5 linked regions of the Coturnix japonica genome follow. The protein of the gene in region 2 binds, or shares a complex with, the protein of the main gene of each other region. Links are inferred from orthologs where the notes say so. Each region holds a gene or a part of one and is shown on either strand. Other genes may lie near its edges.

The links.
Region 1: APOOL (region 2) and IMMT share a complex: the UniProt entries of both Homo sapiens proteins name them as parts of the mitochondrial contact site and cristae organizing system (MICOS) complex. The link is inferred for Coturnix japonica from reciprocal best matches to the Homo sapiens genes APOOL and IMMT.
Region 3: APOOL (region 2) and CHCHD3 share a complex: the UniProt entries of both Homo sapiens proteins name them as parts of the mitochondrial contact site and cristae organizing system (MICOS) complex. The link is inferred for Coturnix japonica from reciprocal best matches to the Homo sapiens genes APOOL and CHCHD3.
Region 4: APOOL (region 2) and MICOS13 share a complex: the UniProt entries of both Homo sapiens proteins name them as parts of the mitochondrial contact site and cristae organizing system (MICOS) complex. The link is inferred for Coturnix japonica from reciprocal best matches to the Homo sapiens genes APOOL and MICOS13.
Region 5: APOOL (region 2) and CHCHD6 share a complex: the UniProt entries of both Homo sapiens proteins name them as parts of the mitochondrial contact site and cristae organizing system (MICOS) complex. The link is inferred for Coturnix japonica from reciprocal best matches to the Homo sapiens genes APOOL and CHCHD6.

What each region holds. Positions count from the first base shown.
Region 1 is NC_029519.1:77,508,578-77,512,861, forward strand, and holds the start of IMMT (MICOS complex subunit MIC60), read right to left. Parts: upstream 2,802-4,284; coding exon 2,669-2,801; intron 1,826-2,668; coding exon 1,672-1,825; intron 1,568-1,671; coding exon 1,378-1,567; intron 741-1,377; coding exon 620-740; intron 34-619; coding exon 1-33. Other genes in the region: MRPL35 (39S ribosomal protein L35, mitochondrial), read left to right, coding at 2,937-2,964, 3,501-3,802, 4,186-4,284. UniProt on the Homo sapiens protein: Component of the MICOS complex, a large protein complex of the mitochondrial inner membrane that plays crucial roles in the maintenance of crista junctions, inner membrane architecture, and formation of contact sites to the outer membrane.
Region 2 is NC_029519.1:8,435,795-8,439,884, forward strand, and holds the start of APOOL (MICOS complex subunit MIC27), read right to left. Parts: upstream 2,804-4,090; 5' UTR 2,722-2,803; coding exon 2,710-2,721; intron 1,171-2,709; coding exon 1,069-1,170; intron 506-1,068; coding exon 386-505; intron 1-385. UniProt on the Homo sapiens protein: Component of the MICOS complex, a large protein complex of the mitochondrial inner membrane that plays crucial roles in the maintenance of crista junctions, inner membrane architecture, and formation of contact sites to the outer membrane.
Region 3 is NC_029516.1:1,800,219-1,804,291, forward strand, and holds the start of CHCHD3 (MICOS complex subunit MIC19), read left to right. Parts: upstream 1-1,272; 5' UTR 1,273-1,360; coding exon 1,361-1,441; intron 1,442-3,671; coding exon 3,672-3,756; intron 3,757-4,073. UniProt on the Homo sapiens protein: Component of the MICOS complex, a large protein complex of the mitochondrial inner membrane that plays crucial roles in the maintenance of crista junctions, inner membrane architecture, and formation of contact sites to the outer membrane.
Region 4 is NC_029543.1:715,155-718,229, reverse strand, and holds MICOS13 (MICOS complex subunit MIC13), read right to left. Parts: upstream 1,589-3,075; 5' UTR 1,511-1,588; coding exon 1,482-1,510; intron 1,398-1,481; coding exon 1,241-1,397; intron 916-1,240; coding exon 864-915; intron 711-863; coding exon 613-710; 3' UTR 513-612; downstream 1-512. Other genes in the region: scaffold attachment factor B1-like, read left to right, coding at 62-191; HSD11B1L (hydroxysteroid 11-beta-dehydrogenase 1-like protein), read left to right, coding at 1,933-2,020, 2,216-2,346, 2,605-2,716, 2,799-2,890. UniProt on the Homo sapiens protein: Component of the MICOS complex, a large protein complex of the mitochondrial inner membrane that plays crucial roles in the maintenance of crista junctions, inner membrane architecture, and formation of contact sites to the outer membrane.
Region 5 is NC_029527.1:7,385,526-7,389,466, reverse strand, and holds the start of CHCHD6 (MICOS complex subunit MIC25), read right to left. Parts: upstream 2,808-3,941; 5' UTR 2,722-2,807; coding exon 2,632-2,721; intron 1,788-2,631; coding exon 1,658-1,787; intron 292-1,657; coding exon 228-291; intron 1-227. UniProt on the Homo sapiens protein: Component of the MICOS complex, a large protein complex of the mitochondrial inner membrane that plays crucial roles in the maintenance of crista junctions, inner membrane architecture, and formation of contact sites to the outer membrane.

The sequences.
Region 1 (4,284 bases), about 69 Mb from region 2:
TTGCAGAGATGATCTGTGCTGCAGCTGTGCCTGCTGTTAAGTACAGTTACAGAACTGAAACATGCACATGCACTGAAGTGAGAACAGGGAAATAACAGACACTGGGTTTTTCCTCTGGAGGAACTTCATTGGGACATTCATGTTATTATTTACAGAAAAGGAGACAGCATTAATTACACACACGCAGATCTTCACCTGACATGACAGATAAGGGAACAAAGATGCCAACTGTGACTCTCTATGTTCCTTTTAATCTGGCTTTACAAGCAGCTCAAGCAATTATCCCAATTAAGGCATACTGCAGTTGCTTAAGAAGAAGAAATAGAATATCTCAAGAGCCCAGCACCCAAAGTGAGCCTTGTATGCAGAACTATGGAGTGCAGTCATTTATATTAGATTCCAAATACTCTAAGGTCAATAAACTTAATTGAAAACTAAGCAAAAATGGCTCAAGCCCTTCTAGGCAAACTTCCTTATGATCAATAATATTAATTCAACAAAACTACAGCACAAACATCTGCAACCATCCCCAAAGCCCATCTCCATCTGCTGTGGGATGTACGGTACAGGAGAACATTAGCACTTCTGCTTCTCTCCGTGTGACATTCCATAAGGTTACCTTCTTTTTCCTCTGAAGGAGCAACAGCTTCTGTTTTGCTTGTGTGGGATTTGGGAACGGGCTGTTTGGATTCTTTCATTACTTCTGCTACAGATGAGATCTTCAGTGGACCTTGTTGTATCTTGAGAATCAAAAATAAGAAAGTATTCATTTTTCAGTAACCATCGTGCAAAGCCACAAGGTAAGAACAAAAGCATCTGAGTCAGAGCCATAACTGGGCAGATCAGGATTTCAGTCTGAGCAGTCTGTGTGATGCTAAAGTTTACTCGGTGCCTGGAAGGCACTAAGAGCCTCCATGATCACAAGTGAAGAACATGCAGCTGAAAACTGCTGCAGGGTAACCTCACTGCAGCCTTCCAGTACCTAAAGGGAGCCTATAAACAGGAGGAAAGTCAACTCTTTGGAAGGGTAGATAATAGCAGGACAAGGGGAAATGGTTTTAAGTTGAGGGAGGAAAGATTTAGGTTGGATGTCAGGGGGAAGTTCTGTACTATGAGAGTGGTGAGGTGCTGGAACAGCTGCCCAGAGAGGCTGTGATGTCCCATCCCTGGAGGTGTTCAAGGGCAGGTTGGATGGGGCAGCCTGGGCTGGTATTAAATGTGGAGGCTGGTGGCCCTGCATGTGGCAGGGGGTTGCAACTCGGTGGTCCCTGAGGTCCCTTCCAACCTGAGCCCTTCTATGATTCCATGATAAAGGGAAACATGCGAGCAGCACCATTACACAGCCGTCAGCTGAATAGGTGATTGGGAGATGCTTACCGGTTTCTTTGGCATGGGCACACTGTACGGTGCAGGACCAAGGGCCATCTCAAACAGTTTGTCAGAGTAGGGAATGGCTTTCTCTACATTCTCCCTGAAGTGTGGATCGTAGCTGGCGTACAGGACGGTTCCCCCGACTCCTCCACCCACAAACAAGACGCTTGCACCGATGATTTTGCCTACAGAAACACTGCGTGGAGAGAGGGATAAAACAGAAACGATGTAAATCGTATTGCACGACAATAAAGCCTCTGATAGGTTTTAAACCTCCAGCCTACACCTGGGAACACCCACTGTGATCCAGAAGGCGGCCACCAACCCAAGAGTGTGGGACAAACCAAGGGATGGAAGGAACCACCCCTCCAACGCACCCGGACTCCCCCGACGAGGTCGCATATCCACGGCTCAGTCGAGGTGGACGGAGCGATGCCCTCCTGCACCAGCAGCTCTGTGAGGGGTGGAGGAGAGCACAGTCAGGCACTGAGCACATCTCAGCCTCAACTCATCCCAATGCATGTTAGTTCAGCTCGGTCTGAGAGCTACAGCAGCTCAGTGCAGAAACCAGAGCTGCCTTTAGACCTGCAGCTCATTCAAGAGACACAAACACGTTTCTTTATGAGCTCCCTACAAGAACAACGCAGCCGCTTTCAAGATAGAGATCTCATTATACTATAAATGAAATTACCATGTGAGGAGTGATATTTTACCCTATTCTATTTAGCGGGGATAACGTTACCCAACATTTTTACCTCCTATTTTACCTCAAAATGAAGATCTGCCAGAAAAACTGGTTAAGCAGTAGTTTCTTAAAGCTGCATCGGCCCCTTTGGCCATCAAATAATCTTGTTTGAATTCAAAGCCAGGCTGGATGTGGCTCTGGGCAGCCTGGGCTGCTGGTTGGTGACCCTGCACACAGCAGGGGGTTGGAACTGGATGATCATTGTGGTCCTTTTCAACCCAGGCCATTCTATGACTCAATGATTCCAAACACGGTGATTTTCCATCCCCGCAGCCGCTCAGGACATGTCTCACACATCACAGAGCTCTATGTGACAGCCACCATCGTTACTCTGCTTTCCGTCTCAGCTCAGTTTCCCCATCACACCCCCATCCTCATTTAACAGCGGTTCCCATCCATCAGCCCAGGCCCCACATCCACAAGGTCACGTCCCGCCGCCCAGTGCTGTCATCGTTAGGCCGCAATGTGCTCACACCGACCAGAACCAGCCGTGCTCCCCCCACAAGGCCCCAAATCTCCCCCCCGCTCCCCACCGGACCCATCCCCGCTCACCTGCGCTGTCACCGCTCCCCCCGCCCGCTGACAGACCCGCAGCATCGCCCCGCACCCGGCAGCACCGACGCGCCGCGCGATGCAACTCCACACACCGGCTGCACGGCGCACTGCGCATGCGCGGGACGCACATCCGCCGGGGGGGGCGGGGATACTGCGCTGAGAGAGTGAGCCGCCATCTTAGGAGGAGTCGCGAGGGGACTGTGCTCCTCACAGCGGGGACTGGGCGCCCTGCGGGACGGGCGGAGCCTGAGCCGGGCTGAGGGACATGGCGGCTGTGAGAGCGGCCCTCACGGGTCTGTGGCTGACGGAGGGAGCCGGGCCGCCATGTCGGAGCGGGGGGTGCCCGTGAAATGGCGGCGGTGCGGGGCTGCTCACCGTCCTGAGGGCTGACAATAGCAGGACACGGGGAAATGGTTTTAAGTTAAAAGAGGGAAGATTTAGGTTGGACGTTAGGGGGAAGTTCTTCACTAGGAGAGTGGTTAGGCCCTGGAACAGGCTGCCCAGGGAGGTTGTGGATGCCCCGTCCTTGGAGGTGTTCAAGGCCAGGTTGGACAGGGCCATGGACAACCTGATCTATGGGGTCTCTATGGGGATCGGTGGGATTTATAGGGTCTCTATGGGGATCTGTGGGATCTATGGGATCGATGGGGTCTCTATGGGGATCTATGGGATTTATAGGGTCTCTGTGGGGATCTATGGGGTCTCCTGGGCAACCTGATCTAGTAAAGGTGTATGTTCGGTGGCCCTGCCAGGCAGGGGGGTTGGAACTACATGATCCTTGAGGTCCCTTCCAACCCGGCTCATTCTGTGATTCTGTCTCTCGTTGCAGGGATGCTGCGCCCGCTGTCACGCTGGGCCCCGCTGGCTGCAGGACGAACCGCCGCCGTTCGGTGCTGCCACAGCCCGGTGTGGGCTGCGGCTCCGCTGCCCAAACCGCCGTCCAAAGGGATCGTGCCCGGCGCACCGTGTCCTTCCCTGGTCCTCAGACTCACTCCTCTGCTTCCCAACATCCTTCAGCAGCCCACGAGGCCCGTCACTTATTACGGCTTACGGAAGGGAAAGAGGAAGACTGTGAAAGCTGTCGTTAAGAGATTTCTGCGGCTGCACTGTGGGCTTTGGGTGAGGAGGAAGGTAGGATTTAGTTTTGTTCAGGTGTTAAAGCAGTGGGTTCATTGAGGGTGGTGATGCACTGGAACAGGTTGCCCAAGGAGGCTGTGGATGCCCCATCCCTGCAGGCATTCAAGGCCAGGCTGGATGTGGCTCTGGGCAGCCTGGTCTGCTGGTTGGTGACCCTGCACACAGCAGGGGGTTGAAACTGGATGATCATTGTGGTCCTTTTCAACCCAGGCCATTCTATGATTCATTGATTCATTGCTTTTGCTCTGATAGACAGAGGAAGCTGGTATGGAAGTTTGCATCTCCTGGCTTCCTAAAAGTGGGGGTTTTGTGCTTATGTGTGAGAATTGCTATACGTCCCTATTGGTAGCAACTCACTGTCTGTTTTCTCCTGGCAGTCTGGTTACAAGAAGAAACTGTGGAAGAAATCTACTGCCCAGAAGAAACGCTTGAGAGAGTTTGTGTTGTGCAATAGGACACAAAGTAAACTCCTGGAT
Region 2 (4,090 bases):
TCTGGGACTGTACCTGGAATTTCAGACACCCAGACATAACAGTTATGCTGGCAGGAAGTTACCTACAGAACTCTTACCACTAAAGTTAAGCAAAAAGTATTTCTAAAGCTGACAGCGTGAGTTGGCCTTGACCCACTTTTGTATCGACTGAAAGGGATCTATTTGAGCTCTCTGACATCTGCACTGGAAAACAGGGAGAACTGTTAAAAGAACAGTAGAGAAAAATGAAACTGTTCATTTTTGCATTTGAAACTACAGGTCTGTAATAACACAAGAAGTTGCCAAAAAAACTCCAGCAGGGTCAAGGAGGATATATATATATTTTAACCTTTTAGTCTAGTGCTATTAGGAATTATAGGAAACCTTGGGGGCAGGCATTTCTTACCTTACACCATCCAATATAGTGTCCAGTTGTCTGTCTTATTGAAGAGAATTGCTTCTGCAAGCGACCAGGCTGTTCTTCAATGTATTTTGATTTCAAAGGCGGCGAGCAGTAAATTGGAAGCTGGAATCACAAGTATAACCCTACTGCAGGGAGGCCATTCTGTGAACTGACCTGCATTTACTGGCGCTGAGCAGCACTTCTCAAACCCACAAATCTTCAGCCTTCCCATTCGGCAAAGAAAGTCGGTGTATCAAATAGCGCTCTTTTACATTTAGAAACTTAATTACACAGGTATGGCTGCAGGTCAGTTCTTCACAATTGAAAACAAAGTATTGTACGTGCTTGGAGAAGTAGAACCACTGAGTGACAAAGACGTATTTTATTAATGAAAAGCATAAAGAAAGACAAGTAGGAAGAATCATGTAATTTGCTGATAGAAATTGTACGGTAGAAAAGACTTCTTAACAGAAAGTATTACACTGTTATCTCTAACTCTAGAAAACAACAGAATGATGGAAACAAGGTAAAATTCCACTCATTTACACTATTCCTTTCTATCTGTGCTGTAGTGGTCAATTATTTTGGAGGAGCTTTGTGTGATCACATAATACTCAGTTATGTCTTTTATTTACAAGTTAATGATAATCAACAGCAACAAATCACGAAAGCAGTAAGAACCGCACCTGGTTTGGCTTCAGCAGCTGACTTGTTGATTCCTTCTCTGTTGCTGCATATACTGCACACAGGAATGGTAGGGAGGAAGAAGCAGCAGCCAGCCTTGTCACCTGAGAGATGAAAGAAGGAAGTCTTAATGTAGAAATAAAACCTCATTCCATTCAAAATTTTGCTACTATATTGTGCTTGGCCAAATACAGGGTTAAACAAGTCATTTTAAAAGCCTGTCTAAAATAGGCAACCTTCAATAAATGCTTCGTACACAGACATTTTCTCAAATATCAGTGGCAAAGAAAGAGATAGAGATGACCACAGTTCTGTGCTCAATGTCATTTTGATGCCTTCATTGCTCCTTACAATAAATTAAGTTCTAACCTTGTCAACATTTAACTACTCCAAGTCAGTGAATGACATTTTTGTTTCGGCAAGTTCAGTGTTACTTGCAATAATCTGCCATCTCCCAGTTCAGAGGATGGTCCAACTGCTGTCTGGAAGAACCACGTGTCAACAGTAAGCGACAAAATCAGAATGAAGAACCACCTGCTTAACCTTTCTAACCCTGTCAGCTACAGTGTGAGTTACAAAGTCTGGTCATAACAGCTCCAGGTCTACTTAAATTTGGAAAAAGAAAAATCCTTAACGCAGAGGTGAACTCAAATACCGCTTCATGGGAAGCTGCTTTTTACCTCTCTGCCTTAAGACACCAATGGGATGCACCCCAGGCACACGGTGCATTAACCACCAGCCCAACACGCACTGAAGCATCTGCACCTTCCATCAGCAACAACTTTCCTGCTCTTCACCTGAAGCATTTCTTAAACTGCAAAAACAGACTGAGCTCCAGCAGATTTAGGGAGGTACACCCATCCCCAAGGAAAAGGCTGTGCTTTATATGAATTATTAAAGAAAACTATTTAAGATGTACTGTTACTGAAGTAACCTACTTCAGAACAAGATGCTACCAAAGCAACGCTCCCATTTCCAGTAGATGCCACCAGGAAATTTTAAAGTAAGAAAGCATTACATTGTTTACTTAGATTTGATTACTTCAGAGAGTCACAACGAAGTTTATTTGTAGTAAAAGTAACAGAAAAAGCTACAATGTGAACAGTGAGAGTACTCCAATTCCTGACTGACACTAATTGCTTCACTTTTGGACGCCTGAAGACAAACACATGACTATTTAAAAACCCAATGAACAGCTCTGCTACCTGACACTGATCTTGGCATAGGCACAGAAAGGTTTAACTCTTCCCACTGAAATCACAAAGAACTGGGGAGAAAGAAGGCAGCATCACCTCAGCTACGTTCAGTAGGTGTCACTGTACCGAGCAGTTACAGGTTGGTGTTTATTTTGCACAGGCACAACTCAAGCCGTGTGGAAGCAGCTCCCACAGGCACTAGTCCCGCAGCAGAGGGCTCCGCTTCACACACCTCCCCCTCAGCTCCCACCCACAGCGGCACCGGACAGCACGGCGACCTCGTGCCCTCACAGCCCCCGCGGCCCGACCCGGTGCCTCTGCAGGGCTACGACGGGAGCTGAGCAGCACAGGACACAGAGAGCCGGCGGGATGCGGGGCTTTGAGGGACCTCAGGCCCTCCCTCGGAGCGGAAAGGGCCGCCCTCCCCCCGCGCCGGGCGGCACTCACCTTGGCCGCCATCTTAGCGACAGCCCCGCAGCCGCGTACGGCGAGCGGGAAGGGAAGGGCCGAGCGCTCGGCCGAGGGCTCCTCCTGCTCGGGGCGGGGCTGCACGGCGGATGGGGCGATGGAACCGGGCCGGAGAGATCTGCCCTTCGTTGGGTGTGTGCCTGAGTCACAGCGTGGGGCTTTGTTGGTTACTCTTCGTAAGTGTAGTTATAGAGAGCTGCCCAGGGAGGTGGTGGAGTCACCGACTATGGGAGTGTTCAAGAAACGCTTGGATGTGGTGCTGAGGAATATGATTTAGCCAGGAAGCATTGGGAATGGTTGGACTAGATGGTCTTCTAGGTGTTTTCCAACCTTGATAATTCTGTGATTCTGTGATCACGCACTAAAACAACCTGAGCACAGAGTTGAAGTGCAGATAATTCCGTTTATTGAAGTCCAAATTTACAACTGAAGTTTACAACTTTTTTTTTTTCTCCCCCCAAAACAAAAGCTTCATTTGAATTTAGGAAGAATAAATGTTCTGTTTAATAATGTACAGACTATATCTCTTAAATAAGTTAATATCTTTGAAAAAAGAGCAATATGTTCCTTTTTTTAATGTTGCAGTGCAACTTACAACTTACACGTCTGTGCAATGTACCATGAGGTATCTGCCCAGTGAGCAACACACAGTGAAGTTTTCCATTCATAAGTTTTCATTGTAGACACACAAAAAGTTAACAAGTTCATCTGTGATAGAAAAACGCAGCCGGTTACAGTAGTTCACACAGAAGTCATCTGAGAAGAGGAAAAAAAGAAACCTAACGTTCACTGCCTATAGAAACTATTGGGTCATCTCTCAACATAGACAAGTAGAAAATTAAAAATACTGTTGTGAAACCGAAGAATACTGTATTATCCAGGGGTTGAAACCCAGCCTAACCTGTATGCTTCCAGTTAGAGCAGTTTTCTCTCTCTGTTACAGTGAGCTGAAGGATTTACTATGGTGTCGGTAGAGCATCTGCTCATGAAAGCGCTTAAGCAAGATGGTAATTAGAGAAAAGTTGGAGGATGTCACAAACTGTGATACAACTCAGACACCTTCCCTGGCGTGGACAGATGGTTCACCGTGACCTCTCAGTTCATCTCACAGTTGTTTGGAAAAACAAGGCTGAAACATGGAAGATTCCGAGTATTTGAAGCTTTGACGCTTCAAACATTTCAAGATGGCTCTTACTAAAAATACTTATTTTTCATAATGACATAAAACACATATTTACTTTAGAAAGAATCAACCACAACATAACTTGGTGATAAATAACAGTTCTGCCGCTAATACTTATATACATACTGCTTGTAAACAAAAAATGCCCACAGGTCATGGAGTCTCCATGAGTTTTAT
Region 3 (4,073 bases), on a different chromosome or scaffold from region 2:
TTATGGTTATTATTATTCTTCACCAGTGCAAAGCAGAGGTATAGACCTGTCGGTGTGTCCAGTGGAAGGCCATAAGAATGATCCAAGGGATGGAACACTTTCCTTTTGAGGATAGGCTGAGCAAGTTGGGGTTGTTCAGCCTGGAGAAGAGGAGGCGCCTGGGAGACTTGAGAGCAGCATTTCAGGACCTAAAGAAGGGGTATAAGAAAGAAGGGGACAGACTCTTCAGTAGGGTCTGTTATGACAGGATAAAGGGAAAAGGTTTCAATCTAAAAGAGAAGAGATTTTACAGTAATAGTGGTGAGGCACCAGTTGCCCAGAGAGGTCCCATCCCTGGAGACACTCAAGGTCAGGCTGGATGGGGCTCTGAGCAACATGATGGAGCTGTAGGTGTCCCTGTTCATTGCAAGGAGTTGGAGCAGATGACCTTTAAATTTCCCTTCCAACTGAAATGATTCTAGCATTCTGTGATATATACTTACTATGTAAATGCCTTTCTCGCCTCACATTTACGACAGAGAAATTCAGAGATGCTTCTTACGTTGGTGGCATCCAAAATGCAGTATGTTTTCTGAGGTTTATACACTAGAAAACACTTCATTCTCCTCTCAGGCCTCTCCCCAGCACAAATCTCTATAGTTCTCTATATCTGGCAATCCAGGCAGGCTACCAGCCCCATCCAACCTACAGAACAGATGTTACCTGCAGAGCAGCCAAATGAACTTTTTATTTTAGGCCGAAGAGAAAATATATTCTGTGTTATTAACATTATTCAGCTCTTGGAACGAAGATTATACATCCAAAGGGGGGGTAATGGTAATTAAAGAAAGGAGTTAATGGCCCAAGGGGGTTAATGGTAATTTTATAACGTTATAAAAATGGATTGAGGTGCTAATTTGGACTAAATGACCTTCAAAGGTCCCTCTTCCAACTCATTCTATGATCAGCCTGTGGGTTCCAGCACAGCTCCGAGGGACACTTTGCACAGGGGCTTGTCTTGAGGTACTATTAACTATTACTTCTTTGGGCTGAGGGAAGAACTACATTACCCAGAGGGCCATGCACACGAGCACCGCGCTCCACCCCCCTCCTCTCAGAGCTAAGGATTCTGGGAGTTGTAGTCTGCCCCCCCAACCTCGGGAAGTTCGAACTGAAAAAGTTTCCCCAGCTTTTCCGGGTGTGCGCGGTTTCCATGTCTACGGCCCCGCAGCCAATAGGAAGAAGGTTTCTAGGCGAGGAAGGCGGGGTTAAGCGAAAGGCGGCCCAATGAGAGGCGGCGTTGTTGTGAGGCGAGCTGGCAGCGGGCGCGGAGAGTCTCCTTGGGGCTGTCCCTGGTTGCGGCCTGTAGCGCCGGGTGAAGATGGGCGGCAGCGGCAGCACAAGGAGAGTCACCTTCGAGGCGGATGAGAATGAGAACATCACGGTGGTGAAGGGTGTGAGGGTGAGAGCGGGGCTCCACCGGGCCTGGGGGGTCTGTAACGGGACACATTCTAATCTGAGGGACACGTGGGGCCTGGCTAACCCAGCGTCTATCTCGTATTTCTCCCTATTTTGTGCCATTATGCTGCCGGTGTCTGTCTCTTGTTCTCTTCTCTTGTTGAGTTTTGCCCGTTTTCTCCCCTCACTCTTCATTATCCTCAGGATAATCGCTTTCTTCTTTGGCACGAAGCTTCCTGTGACAGTGCAGCTGGTCTCCAAGGGCAGAGCTAACGCTGTGCTAAGAGAGATGTGTGACTGGAAGAACTTGTTCTACCTCCTCTGACCTCCACGTCTCAGAGCTGCTCATGTTACTCCATCTGGAGTACTGTGTCCAGATGTGGAGCCCTCAGTAACAAAAAGACATGGAGATTTTGGAAAGGGTCACAGAGGAGGGCCACGAAATGAGTTAGGGGGCTGGAGCACCTCCCTATGAGGACAGGCTGAGGGGTTGGGTTTGTTCAGCCTGGAGAAGAGAAGGTTGCGGGGTGACCTCATTGCAGCCTTTCAATACCTGAAGGGAACTTAACTCCCAGGAGGGGAGTCAACTCTTCGAAAGGGCTGATAATAGCAGGACACGGGGAAATGGTTTTAAGTTAAAAGAGGGAAGATTTAGGTTGGATGTTAGGGGGAAGTTCTTTACTAGGAGAGTGGTTAGGCCCTGGAACAGGCTGCCCAGGGAGGTTGTGGATGCTCTGTCCTTGGAGGTGTTCAAGGCCAGGTTGGACGGGGCCCTGGGCAACCTGATCTAGTAAAGGTGTATGTTTGGTGGCCCTGCTTAGCAGGGGGGTTGGACCTACATGATCCTTGAGGTCCCTTCCAACCCGGGTCATTCTGTGTGATTCTGTGATGTTCCCACGTTCTTTTACAAGCCATGTGAGCCAGCATTTTGTGATTCTGTGGTTCTGTATATCTGGTTTTCAGTTCACTCTACAGAAGCATTCATGCTGTTGCCTGTAACGTAGCAAAGGACAGATAACTTGTGGCACAAGACACTGCAAAATCGTGCAGTGCAGAAGTTTGTCAACAGAAGATGCTGCAGTTCATAGCAGGAATGATTAGGTGTCTTTGATTGCTGCTGGTAGAGAGGAGTGTTGCATAACAAAAAGTGATGTTAATTCCTGCTTTTTCTTTTGTCATATTAATTTTTCCCTGGTCTGGTCGTGTAATGGTCTTGGTCAAATAGGTGGCGGTAACTTTAAGTTACTGTTAAATTACTGACACTTTTAAGTTACACCAGAGTAACTAGGAAGTGCTGTTGAATTTTCTGTATAGTATCCTATGCAACTTCTTTAAAGTATCCTGTAATTTGAAATACTGGCAACAAAAACGGATTGATATAACTAGTGATAGGCAGTACCACCTCACTGAGCTCACATCCACTGTTTGGTCTCCATAAACATTCAGCAAGAGTTGATGAATGTCAGTGGATGCAATTTTTGCCACATGGAGGAGTTCAGTTCCACACATCCCTGTGTCAGATGCCACTTTGTCAGACTGTCCCTCTTCTGCCTCTGTTGCACAGCAAAAAAATGTAATAGATATTGGAGGGGAGGGTTCAACATATACTGCCATACCACCAACATCCACCTTTGACGCTGTGGACCAATAGGCATTACTTCAAGGGCAGCCCTTGTGCTCTACCTTGGGGTACGGTAGGTCTGATACTGGGCACTACTCTTACTCTCTGTTTGATTGTTTGTAATTTGTGAGTGTTTTTGGGTGTGCACATGCCAGCAGTAGGCTGAACTCTGTGGATAACAGTCCTTGCTATGACTGCTGTTGCTCCAGTGCTTTGAGAGCTCTATTAGAATGAAGTTCTGCATCTGCACAGCATGGCGTTTGACCATCATCCAATAGATAATCAATTGAGAAAGGCAAGAAGCCATATTTAATAGAAGTAATGATGTGCTGAGGGATGGTGGTGTGTCCTCTGTTTGACTGTACCACTTTCTTGTGTTCTGTGAGAAGCAAAATGTTCAGTCTTTGTACTCACAGAGAAGCGATCGCCCCACAAAGGAGGGCGGAGATGGTTTAAATAGTTTATTTTATACTGTCGATAACATTTTTGTTCTTATGTCTTATTTTGAAGCTCTATCCTATGTTTTTAAATAAGTTTTATTTCATTTTTGAGGGGCTGATGGTAGTGGAGATGGAGGAGGAGATACAGTCTGACTGATGGTTATGTTTTTCAGCTGTCTGATAGTGTCATTGATCGTATGAAGGAACCTTCTTCACCCAGTGGAAGATTGCAGTCTCAGCGCCGACCACCTGGTGCAGGTATGCATTTATTTCCTATGTATTAGTGGGGGGAAAAAACATGGAGTGTCATTCAGATTATTGTAATGAACTCATTGCCATTTCGTTGATATGATTTTTGTCTGACATCTAACATTTTTCCTTTCGAAGAAAGAAGCAGTTTGATGGGCTTTTAGATGAGTTAAATTACTCTTAATTTTCTTCTAACAATAAAATCTAAAACATAACTGTTCTATGGACTTGGTTTCCGAAGTTATTCTCTGTTGTTAAATAAATTCTTTTTTTAACTGAAAAAAACCCATACAGTGAAGTATGCATTGAGTTCTGAAGTGAAAACT
Region 4 (3,075 bases), on a different chromosome or scaffold from region 2:
CAGAATATTCCTGTGCTTCATTGGAGAGAACCAACCCCAAACCATCTGCCCCACTTTGCAGGCGAGGAGGGTTCATGCAAGGAGGGAACCAAAGTCAGCTGATGCACGGAGGGGGGATGCAAGGGGAGGGATTTGCCGGCCAGGAGCGAGCGAGCCGACCCAACGACCCTCGCTTCAACCGTCGCTACTGAATGTTTTAATTTCTAACGCTACGTGGCAACTGCAGTTGGTTTGTCCCTGGGGTGTCCGGCCCTTGGAGCTCGTGGGTCACTGTAAGTGGAATTTCTTTTTTAAGCTGCTGCCATACGACGTCACTCGATCCAATGTGAACTCATTTGTTTTGTAACGTGTTGTTCATATCCTCATTTAAAACTGTTTGTTAATGAAGCATTCCATTTTCCATAAATAAAAAAAAAAACAGTTTACAGTTCACGGCTGCAGTCGTCTCTGAGGCACCTACTGCTATGAAGGCATGGAGCAATGGGGGCTATTTGTCAAAACCAACCCCAATGAAACCAGAACTTCAAAGTCTTTTATTGCAGCCCTTGTGGCTGAGCTGTGGGAGCAGCACGGGACGGACAGAATGAGAGCGGGACAGAGGATGTGCTCAGCTCACTTGACGAGATCCTTGAGGTAGTTCCAGCCCTGAGCCGTGTATTCACACGCTCTGCTGGGAGCCACCGACAGGGCAGACATCAGCGTGTGCACCCCTGTAAGGGACATGGACAGTCAGCACAGCACAGCAGCAATGGAGGCACATGGCAGGTTGATTTGTGGCACCAACCCCAACCCCGGCCAGTGTGTGGTTCTATGACAAGCTGCAGCACTGGCCCCTTCCCACAAATAATGAAATGGGATTTTACCTTTATTCCAGGAATCCGAGGGGGAGAAATCCAAGGTTGGAACGGGTGGGAGCTGCAGAGAGAAAGAAAGAAAGAAAGAAAGAAGGGCAGCAATGGGGGGCAGGGGGATCACGGAGCCCAAAGGGGTTTGGTGCTACATCAATGAGCATCAATGAGAATCAATGAGAGTCAATGGGCATCAGTGAGCTCTGGGCTCTGAGCTGCAGTAAAAGCAGAGGGGAAATACGTGACAGCTTATAATAGGATCCGATATGGAAAAGCTGCTGGTTCCTTCAGGGTCTCCCTGTCACTGTGGGTCCAAACAGACCCGATGCTGCTCCTTATCCCCCCCTTATCTCCCCCCTTATCTCCCCTTATCTCCCTTATCTCCCTCTCACCTCCCATCCCACGTGTCCGCTCCATTCTCTCACCGCAGCCGGTAGCGCTTCCCGGGCCCGTTTTAAGGCCTCTGCCCCCTCGGTCCCGCTGCCCAGCAGCCCCTGATCGTACGACACGTACACGGCGGCTCCGGCCAGGCCTCCCTTGATGGCGAACCTGCAGGGACCAAAGCAGTGACTCGGTTCGGTTCGGTCCCGCCGTTACGTCCCTCCCATCCCGGGTCTGACCGCGGTCACTGACCGGATGAGCGGCGCGATGCGGGCGGCCATGACGGCACCAAGGGCAGCGCCGCGAGGGCCGCCGGGAGCCTCACGTGACCGGAAGAGTGGAGAACCACTTCCTTCTCAACCGTTACCACGGCAACGAGCGCACGTAGGAAGCTGCGGCCGCCGCCATCTTGGGGTGAGGGGTCGGGGCGGGCAGTGAGGGGGCTGGGGGCCGCAGGGCGGGGAGTGGGGGCCGCACCCGCTGAACGTGGCGCTGTGAGCGGCGACATGATGGGAGATGAGCGAGATAACGGGGTGATGAGGCCTGACCCGGTCCGACACCTTCCCGTTGTGGGGGGGCAGCCCGTTCTATCGCCTCCATCCCGCCCCGTTCCGCTCGGACTCCCCCCGTCCCCCATCACTGATCCCGTTCCGTTCCGTTCCCGCAGCTCGTTCCCGTCCCGCCCCGTCCCGTCCCGCACACGATGGTTCCCATCACGAAGCTGTTTTGTGCCGCGGGGCTCCTGGCTGCGCTGCTGTGTTTGCGCTGCAGGGACGACCCGTTCCACGCAGGTATCACGGTCCGACACTCGGTAACGGCCGCTCAGTCACACGCAGCCCCCGCTGTGAGCGCGGCCACAACCGGCCCCGGCTGCAGCAGCGGCTCCATCCGCCCCCACCCGCCGCTTCGTGCCCCGTTTCCCCGCACACTTGTGTCCGTGTGTCCGTCTGTGTGTCTGTATCTGTGTCCGTGTGTCCCGTTCTCAGAGCTCCTTTCCGGTGCCCGCGTGCTTCTGACCGGAGCCAGCGCCGGGATCGGGGAGCAGTTGGCTTATCGCTATGCGGCCTATGGGGCTCAGATGGTGCTGACCGCCAGGAGGGAGGCGGCGCTGCGGGAGGTGAGGGAGGAGGGAACAGAACGGCGGGGACTCGGGCTTTGGGCTTCGGGCTTTTGTGGCTGTTTTGTGCTGCCATCCCCTGCACTGACCCCATGTGGGTTCCCCTGTGCTGGGTTCCCCCGTTGCTGTCGCCCAGCAGCGCTGTTGCAGCGCGTGTTTCTCCCACCAGGGGGCAGCACCGCAGCCCGATGTTGCTCCTTATCGCTGCTCCTCCCCCCCACCTCACATTGAGCCATTGGCACAGCGCTGTTTTCGCAGGTGATGGAGAAATGTCTGACCCTCGGAGCAAAGAAAGTCTTCTACCTCCCAGCTGACATGTCTTCACCTTCAGAGCCCGACAGGGTGGTTCAGTTCGCTGTCCAAAAACTGGGTAAGCGGGACAAGAATGGCAGCACAGCCAAATATCTGCTGTATTTACCCCTGTATTTACTGACTGCTGTCTGTGCCCGCAGGAGGGCTGGACTACCTCGTGCTGAACCATATCGGCACTTCCCCGTTTGAGATGTGGGGCGGGGATGTGGAGCACAGCCGCTGGCTCATGCAGGTGAGGATTCCCAGCAGTTCTTGTGATTCTGCTGCTCCTGGGACAACCTGGAGGGGCTCGAAGGCAGATTCAGAGCTCTGCCTGCAGCCGAGGGCAACCGTGTGTGTGTTTCTAGGCTGATACTTTGGAGCCTCCCCTACTCACCTCAGTGTTGTGCTGACTTAACCTTCCTTTCCTCCTGTCGT
Region 5 (3,941 bases), on a different chromosome or scaffold from region 2:
CCCGCAGTTTTCACAAACATACAAGTCAGGCAAAAACAGCAAACTGAGACCCATACAAATTTATATTTCAGTTATTTAGCTCTATTAAGTACTTAATTACCACCTAAAAGTTGCAATGATATAAAGTAGTTAGTTAGATAAATAGATACTGCTTTGGACAAGATGAAAGGACAGACCACAGTAAAAGGAGTCAGTCTATCTCACAGCATAAAAGGAGCTAAACTCACCTCCTGTACAGTTCCTGCTCCGCAACTGTAGCCTTCTGATCAGAGTTACCTGGTGGCTGGATTCCTAGAGAGAAAGAACAGAAACCCATAAGAACTGTAATACAGAACACAGCCTAAATTGTTTGATAAGAAGAGAATACTTAATACATGTTATTCCATCAAGACGATAAATAACAATCCTAGACAAGTCTCAAGAAAATTTAAATCTGATGGAAATAGACTTAATGAAAGAAAGAGATACTGACAACACTGTCAGCACTGCCTTCAACAAGGCACACTGAACCAAGTAAGGATGTTACACACAGACACTGCTTTATACTGGAAAATAAGCATAGCTTTAGTCCCACTTTCTAGTTGTTTCTTCTAGCTTCATTAAGTCTTCCTGCTTTCCTTGCAATTACAGAGATTAAGTTATTTAATGGAGTTCATCCATAAAATTGAAACCACTTTCGGAAAAGATGTAGGCTAACAGCAAACCAGTTTCTAACAGCAAAGGCCTGGTTCATTAACTTTGTGTTAGTTTGTATGCCTTAAATCCATACTGATAAAGTTTATCAACAAAGTATATTTGCAAACCAATAAAATCAAATCATTTTATTAACTGTAAAGAAAGTAAAGTTCAGAAATCGTGTTCTCACTGTTCACTTGATGTGTCATATAACCTGTGTTTAGTCACTTCCCCTCCAAGAATGAGTTTATTTCCAAAGGACAAAAGGCAGCATCTCCCCCCCCCCCACCACATACTCCCATCTGCATGGAAAAGGGACAGTAAAACAAGTTTCAAGAAACAAAAGATAACATTAAAAAATTACTGAATTACTGCCTTGCTTATTGTGTGTTTATCTGAACTTCTACACTCAAAGTCACACAAGTTCCTTAATGCATCTGAGAACCAAGGCATTCTAAAGACAAAACAAGAGCATCTACATAAACAAGTTGTCTTCCTTAATGTCCCACAACAACAGAACAAGAACCACAGCATTTCAGCAGCTCTTCTCAGGATAGTTCATGCTATGTAACACAAACAGAAGTGCTAAGCAGCATATTGTCCTTCTCACAAAGCACCAACATTACTTCTGATGTGTTCTTGGCAACACCACATAAAGTATTTGCAGGTAGGCCAATAGACATATACAGAAAGAAGACTGGAACTCACCCAGCTGGTGAAGGGGCTCTCCTTTATACACACTCCTTTGCAGGAAGCAGCATAGGTCCAAGAGATGCTTTCCCTTCAGTGGCTGGCATTTATATGAGAGCCTAGGGGGACTCCACCCCTTCTGGTCTCATAGGGAGACCAGGTGCAAACAATTTGCCTGCGCTCCCTGGGCCAGCTGCATCCCTTTACCAAGTGCTCACCACCAGATCAAATCCTGGCCTAACAGTTCCCCTACAGGTGTCAAATCAATAGACCTGACAGAGACTGGCAGTACCTGTAGAAGATTTGGGTTTCCCTTCTGCAGCTGTTGAAGATGGAGCTGTACCACTGGATGAATAGGGTGACCTCTGGCTGCCCCTTTTACTTTGAGATTCTTTCATTCGATTCACTACATCTTCAGTGAGCTAAAACACACACATAAGAAAGCAATTAATCATTTAGTTAACTAACCATTTAATGTACATGTATTTCAGTATAAAGGCGTCTAATTTGTTGGTTTATAAGCTGCTGCAAAACCAGAACTGTTTCTTGGAAGGGACCAAAGACATCTGATCAAACTGCCTGAACACTCAAGGACTAACGAAAAGTTAAAGCATTATCTTTATCACTGGGCATCATCCCAGCGCCTCTTGAACACTGAGGGGTGTTGGGCACCAATCATCTCACTAGGAAGCCTGACCACCCTCACAGTGAGGGTGCTCTGCTGCTCTCCTTGCAAGGGATGGCATTAGAGGCCATACAGAAGTCATTTCCATCTGCCAAGCAGATGGCCGTAGCACACAAGGACACAGAGCTGTGTTACATCTTTCAATGCATCTTCACCTTTCATCTTTCAATTACATCTTTAATTTCCATTAAAGCCAGGCTGTGACCTCAACACTGAGAAACACAAATGCATACTCTATCAATGGGCAATAAAACTTCCAGCCTAAGGACACACTAAGGGTCACACCTGCCTAATTCCAACCTGAAAGGCAGCAGTTAACTCAAAATAATTCCATTCTATAGAAACATAGTGAGAAGGGGCTGCCAATAGAAAGATACCCGGAGCTGTGAAAGCCAACAGAACGCAGCCTTCACGGTCAGCCCACGGGCACACACACAGTGTGTATCATCACAAATGGCATCCAAAGGAATACAGACCAAAGGAATATGAAATACAGCCGCTGTGGGCACAGGCCGGCCCGGGGCTGCCGCACTCCCACCGAGTCAAGCCGCGGCCGGGCCCGCCGCCCCGCAGCGCCTCACCCTGATGCCCTGCAGCACCCGGACTTGGTCCCGCTCATCCAGCCCGAAGGAAACCTTCCTGCCGCCCTGGCTGCTCTCGCTGCCCCCCATTGCCGGCGGGGCGGCCCTTGGGGATGCCTCAACCCCCCCTCCTCGCCCAGCAGCACCGAGCAGCTCCTCCCCTCTGCCGGCGCCTGCCAACATAACGGGATCCCATTGGCGAACAGCACCGAGGCGGCCAATGGTGTGGATTGAACTCCGAAAACAGGCTCCGTTAATACCTGCTAAACTCATTGATTTTTGTTAATTCTCCGTAATACACGTCGTTTAAGAAAGAAAGTATAACCGTTTATGCCAAACTTCACCGTATTCTTTTATTTTACAAACAAAAATATACATTTATTCTATATTTAGGCTCTTTATACACACACACACCCCCAACACACACAACACTTCTGCTCAAGGCCCGTTGTGAACACGGCCCAAAGCCTTATATACAAAGAAATACACCAGAAGGAAGGTCGGCCCATGGCCCAGCACAGGAGCAGCACACAGACTAAAGTCCTGCTGCCAAAGGACAGGGTGGACACACTGACCACCTGCATAGGTGACCTGCTGAGACATTCAGCTTTCAGCCCTGTCCAAGGCCAACAGACTCCAGGGAGGCTCTGCAGGTTTCCCCCACACTTGCAAAGGATCAGAGTGAAAACAGGAGCAATTCGGACACCACATCATCCATCCCTTTGACAAGTAAAATGTGGCTGATGCAGGTTCACATCAAGCAACGGGAGGAGCACAGCACACTCCTCTCTATATATATTACTAATAGTATCAATGCTACCCAGGAGCCTGCAGGGCAAAGTCCTCAGGCTGCAGAACTGAGAGGCTGCATTGCTCATTAACAAAAAGAAGATAAGTGAGGGGCCTGCATAGTTTCAGCAACTGACAGAACTTTGTGTTCTTACCCAAACTGCTTCTTCCCCTAAGTGGGAAATGCTTTCCCTGCACACACTTGTGATTCTAAACTGATACCTCCATGCTGCACAATGATTCCCCAAGAGCTCTCACCCCAATATTGTTTTTCAGGAACAGCTGGAGCAAGAGATACACAGTGCTGAAATGTTTCATATTTCCTCTCTTTCTACTGCTTTTAATGGGAAGTTGCTATCACCTACAGCACATCTCCACCTACCAAATGACTCGGGTAGGTTCCCCTAGAGCTGACCTCCCCAAAGCCAGGGGAAGCACAGTCTGTCTCAGAAACCAGTTTATTGCAGTTATCAGCTTAACAGTCCCAGAATTGGAACAAACTGTCTTGGAACTGCACGTCA